2 linked regions of the Schizosaccharomyces pombe genome follow. The main gene of each other region encodes a partner of the protein of the gene in region 2 in a complex. Each region holds a gene or a part of one and is shown on either strand. Other genes may lie near its edges.

Region 1 (3,757 bases), on a different chromosome or scaffold from region 2:
TTTTACAAGCACAATTGAGTTTCCAAAGACATTATCAAACCTAAGCAGGAGGATAAGACATTCGTCTTTGATACTCCGAGATTGACGTATCAATAGAAGTGAGCGTACAGGATACCAACTAATCCTAGTTAATAATCAAAATCTCTACAAAAAAAACTTACCTCATAAACCAGTTTTGGATCAACGTTTTGTTCCTGAGCCTGGCTCGCAATTGCCTCCACCCTTTTTTTCGAATTTAACAGAGCATTCTGAAGGGGGGCCATCGCCTTCTTGTCCGGGAAAGTTGTATTCAACAAGGCATTCCAAAATTGATGCAAAAATTCTATCGTAACGGTATGGCACAAAACAATTTCATTTTTTATGTCAATAGGTAAATTTGATGCAGTGCCGTGGGTCTCAAACTCATGCTTTTCGCGCATACTCTGAGTAAGCTGCATAGCGGCTTCAGCCAAAGAGTCAGAATCATGTTCAATGTGATTTAAGCTTATCGAATCTTCCTGGTATAAATGTTGAAGAGCTTCCAATGAAGGCAAAGGCTCTAAACCAACTTGATTTTTTGAGGGGACAAAATTATTTTCCAATAACTGATCTTGACCTTTGATTTTTAAGACAACTTTAGAGTCACTGGCTTCTTCTTCTAAATCGTGAAAACCAGATTCTTTTAAGTATGTTTCTTCATTTTCGTTGTTAAATCGTTTAGAGTTTCTACAAGTTGTTAGGCATACCGAAGCAATAACAATTAATAAAACCGAATATACATACCCCAAACTTTTTTCCAAAAGTCTTTCCGAAAGCTGATTGATGTTTTTCATAAACGGTAGAGCTTCTTTGTCAATTCGCATAGTGATATCAGGTCTAAGTTCTGCTATTACATTTGCATTTTGATCATTTCCTTCTAAATCAAAGAGGTGCGATGCAATAGGTTCATCCGATACTTTGGTTACCTCTTGAAAATGTTAGAAATGGAATTCATCTAGGTTGGAGAAATTACCTTCATTATCTTTTAAATACTTATCCATTATATCATCAGAGGGATCCATTGGTGTAATTCTGTCGCCACGAAGCTTTTTACAAAGCTTGGAAAGGAAAAATCTACTCCAAAACTCTCCTTCTGCTAGAGGAGGCACATGCTTGTCATATACCTTTCGGAGCAATGGATGTTGTTCAAACATATCGTGAATTTGCTGGCCGGTAAGGGAAACTTTCATTTGGTTGTCCACTGTTTTAGGTTTAATAGTAGACAAGACATTATAAGGACCACGCTGCTGAGACCTTTCTACAGCATGAGCGCGGAGCAAATGAAGCCTTGTGCTCCAAAATTGCTCATTACTTAAATGTCCCTTCATAACTGCTTCCTTAAATGTTTGTAAGAGATCGGGATTGTTAGTAAGCAAAGACTCTTGTAAGTCGATGTCCTTTTCTAGATTCGTAGAATTTACACGATCGACATTGGCTCCTTGTGGTTTAGATTGAGAGCCTTCCCTTTGTCTTTGTATCGCATTTCTCAACTCATTAGTAATCATATCACAATTTTCTCTGGCATTAGGAGTACCGGTGAAATGAAATACTAAAGAAGTGGGATCTTCACCTTCCTTTACTACTATAAAAACACGAATCATAACTTTTGGATTAGACGCTGGAGTAGTTTGAAGATCTATCAATCTGTCAGTAATCTCGAAAATGCAACAATTATTATTACTCGAAATTGCATCAAAAGCAATATCTACTGATGGTGTTGTTTTCCCTTCCCCCGTCCATTTTAATCTACTATCGATAGATAATACGCCTGCATGTTAGAATCATTGATTTAATTGTTATTTTACCTTGTTTTTTTCTGAATATGGCTAATGCTTCTACCCTGTCTCCCATCAGATATTTTGGTAGTTGTGGAATACACCGCTAGTCTTTTACGAAATTATCAAGATTTGTTAGACACAGGATGAACATTGGAAACTACGAAAATCATTAGAAAAATAAAAGTTTTGAATGGTTTCTTGATGTCCCAAATCATATACACTTAGATTTTGGGTAAATATATCCTCATTAAGTTGAGCTATGAACATAGGTAACCTATAAGAGACAGTTATCTAAAACTATAGCCCTGTTTTATTTTTAAAAAAATACAATATGAATTAATCATATACGCAATCAATCCGACCCTTCAGAGCAGTAGACAAGAGTGGTTGTTGTTCCATAAAGTACAATGCGTTTATCCCAGGTAATACGATATATCTCAGCCAAAGAGAAAGAACCAACATGTGAAAAGTAATAAACTATCACTACTAAAAGTTCAAAAGATTCGTAATGTCCGCCAAAAAACTGATAGTGGCTACAAATAGAATTTGTAGAGTAATTCAAATGTCTAAATACGTTCCTTTCTAACATAATTCCTGGTAGTATTATCAAGTAATTGTTTCCAAAACATGCAAACTCTTTAAACGTAGCATTAAGTATGAAAGAAGTTACCTCCATTCGAATCAGTATGGAAAGACATGAGTTTATATATGTTTTCAAAGTGACTTCTGTTGAATGACTAGAATTTAGTAGCTAATCCCGGATAAACTATTATTAGTGTATTTCAATTAGAAAAACAAAAAAGCAAGAATTTTAATAATATAAGGCTTTACGTAAGTTTCAAGATTTATTGTAAGAAGAAACGTTTGCACTGCTCTCTGAAGAATAGGGAGAGAATTGTTTGATGTCGAGGTCTTCATTTGTGGTCTCGGTTAATTCCTCTGTCTCTGGTAGTTTACCAGAATCCGTGATTATTTGCTTTTTATCTCCTTCCTCCGATGCGTTTTCAGCTGCTAGCAATTCTTTAGCACGGCGATTCCTTAAATTGGCTCTCCGCCGGGATGCTCTAATAGGTCTCGAAGTTTTTTGCTCTTTTATAACCTCTGGAGTGAAAGGAATAAAAAAATTTGGTAATTTCATTTCCATCTTTTGATAACAGTGTTCTAAACGTAAAACATTACTATGAGTAATTGCCTCTGCATACATTGCAATGTGGGATTTTTTTCGAGTTTGTACATCATCGGATTTTAACAGTAATGATAAGTTTCGAGCGACTAAATTACGACGTTCAACACTAGTATCTCTGTTAAGAAGGTCATCAATTGAAGAAAGAGCTTGTGAATACACATCTGAACATGTTAATCATTTTAAATCAGAAAAAGGCAAGCTCTAGATAGGCAAGTTTTGATAAGAACAACATAAACTTATTATAAGCCTCAGTAGCGTTCAAGTCCTTTTGAATAACATATTCAAGGTTCAAACAAGTCCTAAGCAGATTGATTAAACATTAACAAAGAAAATCAACACCAGAACGGTTTCACTAGTAATCTTTCATTTTTTTGTTTATTATCAAAACCTTCACAGTTGTTCAAGCAAAAAATCCCAATCTATAATGCCACTATCACTTACCCTTTAGTTCAGCCTCTAAAAAACGGACTTCCGTAAAATTTTTGGATAAATCACCCGGTATAGCTTCCAATGCTAAATAATGTAAGAAAATTATTTATTTACACATGTTCATTTATTACCGTCAGCAAGTTGTATAAGAAGATCCAAGTCATTTTCCTTTTTTGGTTTTGCCATGGCTGACGACTTGTCGATTATATACAGCTATTCATGAGGATTCTTTCTAGTTTGACTTTTATTACTTGCCCAAGGTTAGCATTGCTTTTTGCTTCCTTTTGTTTACGTCTGTAATATAAGTGCAATCGAACCAAAGAATCTCGGTTTTCCACTTATAAGG
Region 2 (3,323 bases):
GAGGGCGTTCTATTAATTTTTATTGAGCTTCCTTTCCTTTCTCGTATTTGCCCTGTATCAGACAAATTCCAGGCTTTTACAAATGCTTTTGCTAGCAATTATTACCGTGGTGTAAGTTGTTATAGTTTCTTTTAAGAAAGGCACACAGGGGAAAAAGCATGCCTCTGGATATTTTTAATTCCTTTGTTGCCTTCCTGCTGTCTTTTACATACAGTGTTTATTAACTCTTTTAGCTTGTCTATTTTATATTTTCCGTGGTAACCTTTCTCAGTTGCATCTTTATGGCTACTAGTCTTATTGCCACCGGCATTGTGCTCGCTCTTACTGGTTTATGTTACACCTTTGCCGGTATTAAAGGTCAGGCTTTTACTTCAAGTTCCACGCTTGGTGGAACAGGTATCACGACCGAAACACCTCCCAGCACTATGGTTTAGAATATGCAAAATTGATCTTTATTGATCTTTTTCCTTGTTCATTTGTTTATAGGACAAGCATGAAACTATGCCTTTTCCTTGTTGTATGTTCTTCCAGTTCCCGGTGTTGAAAAAGTTATCACGCGTATGAACTGAACTATCTTTCTAGAAACACCACCAAGTTTCAATTAGGAATGCATAAAAATATCGTTAGACAAAGAAGAACATTTCTCTTATTATACATATTAATTATATAGATAGTATAGTATATTCAAATAGTATAAACTTTCATTCAATACTAAAAATTAAATAAAGACTTGCAAGCAACTACTGAATAGCTCGGCGTAGTTAACAATATATTCAAAACTTATTTTCAAAAAATACAAAATCAGCTGGCTCCTTTCATAATTTTTGCCCATCGGTACACGAGTTTTGGGTACTGTTATGTAATTTGACACAAACGTCAAGTCATTAAAAAATAAACCAACCTTTTCACCCATATCCAAATAAAAGGTAGAATTAATTTCTTTTTTGCATTATTTTAAAATTTTTTTACAATTTAAAATTGAGAAAATGATCATAGATCGTTGACATTGAATGATCCATTAATCGTACAATATTAGGTTCGTCCATCGACTGAAACATTCAGTTCATCATCCAAAGAAAACTTTCGTCATACTAATCTCTTCTTACTCTTCAACTTGATATGTATTTTCCTCAAGGCGTCGTTCTAACTCTGCTTTCACCTGTTCTAGTCGACTTTCATTTACTAACAATCGTTCTTCATCGATCTCTTCGATAACGATACCAGGAGACTGTTCGTCCATGTTCAAAATCAATTGCTTAACGGTTGGGTCACATTCAACCAAGAGTAAGCCTTTTTGTGCGCGTGGCATTGCCTCAAATTTGGTGTCTGCCAGCAGAATCATGGCATGCTACAAGCTCCTTAAGCCACAGGTATCAAGTTACCCATGATCGTTGGATGCCGAATGTAAGAGCAAACAAGAATAAATATCATGCAAGTTTGTTGTGTTAAAGATGGTAATGAATTTGATTATTATGATTATATGCAAAAACAAATTATTTATATGAATAAAACAAGTTGAGGTATTTGAGATCAGCAAAAATTGAAAAAATGATATGACCATTTCGGAAACCTTTTGCTACCATTGCTCATTCCATCCAGCCTCATACTTTTGTCTTAACGGACATATGTATTTTTAGATTGACAATAAACATTTTCGTTTTTGTTGATTAACATGTAATCATGTGATGCGCTAGTAGCGTACACAACTAACATAGCGATGAATTGTTTGTACTTTACAGTGGGTAAAAATTTTTAAATTACAAAACCGACTTCGGTTTGAATAAAGTCTAAAGTGTGCATTGGGAGATCAACTAGTTCTCGGGATGCAGACGGAAAAACAGTAAAACAAGCTCTTCGCGGTACAAGTGAAAAAGATCAAAACGGGCGTTCATGCTTAAGTGCATCTTCATATTAAACTTAAGCTAGCGAAATGGGGGACAGTGGATGCCTCCTACCTAAATCCATCAGTAAAGTAACACCGTCCCCACAAATGCGACTCACCACCAAAGCAATAATATATAGTATAAATAAGACTTTGACATAATATCCTACAAGGAAACTGACAAAAAAAAATTCACTTAAGTTGACCAAATGAAAAAGAGATTACACAAGACTACAAAAGAAGATCATTTACAAAAGGAGACAGGCAAACTATACGTATCACAAACCAAAACGAAAAAAAGTATTTATCAAAATCATAAAATTTATTTATAAGTATTTATAAGTTCAAAAACAAACGCTCAGCCATCTCATCACTGCAACAAAATTAAAAAAAATATATGCAACAATGAATGAGAAGGAGGGTATCAAAGAACAGAGGAAATTTGTAAAAAAGTCATCCATCTATTTATTCACATAGAGTGCGCGTCCACAAAAAAAATGCGAAAATCTAAAAAAGAAAACTCCCGCACTGCAAACGACAACGACTCCTTTGTCTAACATAAAGAAAAAACGGGGAAAACAACTCCAAAAGACTTTCCTGCATTGCCTTTAAGCACCCACCCGACGTTTCTTAGCATCGGGATGATTAGCTAGTTAGTTGTCCTTGGCGGCAGTGTAGGCAACCAAGTCAACGACACGGCGGGAGTAACCCCATTCGTTATCGTACCAAGAGACGAGCTTGACGAATTGAGGAGAAAGTTGGATACCGGCAGAGGCATCGAAGATGGAGGAGTGGTTGTCACCGCAGAAGTCAGTGGAGACAACAGCGTCCTCGGTGTAACCCAACACACCCTTCATGGGGCCCTCAGAGGCAGCCTTGATGGCGGCCTTGATGTCCTCGTAGTTGGTAGGCTTGGCCAACTTGACGGTCAAGTCAACAACGGAAACATCGGGGGTAGGGACACGGAAAGCCATACCGGTAAGCTTACCGTTAAGAGCGGGAATAACCTTACCGACGGCCTTGGCGGCACCAGTGGAGGAGGGGATGATGTTGGCGCTGGCGCCACGACCACCACGCCAGTCCTTCTTGGAGGGACCGTCAACGGTCTTTTGGGTGGCAGTGGTAGCGTGGACAGTGGTCATGAGACCCTCCTCGATACCGAAGGTGTCGTTGATGACCTTGGCAAGGGGAGCCAAACAGTTGGTGGTGCAAGAAGCGTTGGAGATAACCTTCTCAGAGGGGTTGAACTTCTCCTCGTTGACACCGACAACGTACATGGGGGCGTCCTTGGAAGGAGCAGAGATGATGACACGCTTGGCACCACCCTTCAAGTGAGCAGAGGCAGTCTCTTGAGTGGTGAAGACACCGGTGGACTCGATAACGTAGTCAGCACCAGAGGTAGACCACTTGATGTCGGCGGGGTCACGCTCGTTGTGGACAT

What was found.
Region 1: tfb5 (region 2) and tfb1 share a complex: the UniProt entries of both Schizosaccharomyces pombe proteins name them as parts of the 7-subunit TFIIH core complex.

What each region holds. Positions count from the first base shown.
Region 1 is NC_003424.3:3,520,502-3,524,258, forward strand, and holds the start of tfb1 (transcription factor TFIIH complex subunit Tfb1), read right to left. Parts: upstream 1,889-3,757; 5' UTR 1,870-1,888; coding exon 1,824-1,869; exon of another isoform or gene 1,787-1,823; coding exon 1,700-1,786; exon of another isoform or gene 1,655-1,699; coding exon 992-1,654; exon of another isoform or gene 947-991; coding exon 763-946; exon of another isoform or gene 706-762; coding exon 162-705; intron 119-161; coding exon 41-118; 3' UTR 1-40. Other genes in the region: SPOM_SPAC16E8.18 (uncharacterized protein), read right to left, coding at 2,149-2,472; protein Png3, read right to left, coding at 2,635-3,143, 3,424-3,495, 3,543-3,597. UniProt on the Schizosaccharomyces pombe protein: Component of the general transcription and DNA repair factor IIH (TFIIH) core complex, which is involved in general and transcription-coupled nucleotide excision repair (NER) of damaged DNA and, when complexed to TFIIK, in RNA transcription by RNA polymerase II.
Region 2 is NC_003423.3:2,807,860-2,811,182, reverse strand, and holds tfb5 (transcription factor TFIIH complex subunit Tfb5), read right to left. Parts: upstream 1,310-3,323; coding exon 1,103-1,309; 3' UTR 644-1,102; downstream 1-643. Other genes in the region: SPOM_SPBC32F12.12C (golgi membrane protein involved in vesicle-mediated transport), read left to right, coding at 1-111, 234-434; glyceraldehyde-3-phosphate dehydrogenase Tdh1, read right to left, coding at 2,536-3,323. UniProt on the Schizosaccharomyces pombe protein: Component of the general transcription and DNA repair factor IIH (TFIIH) core complex, which is involved in general and transcription-coupled nucleotide excision repair (NER) of damaged DNA and, when complexed to TFIIK, in RNA transcription by RNA polymerase II.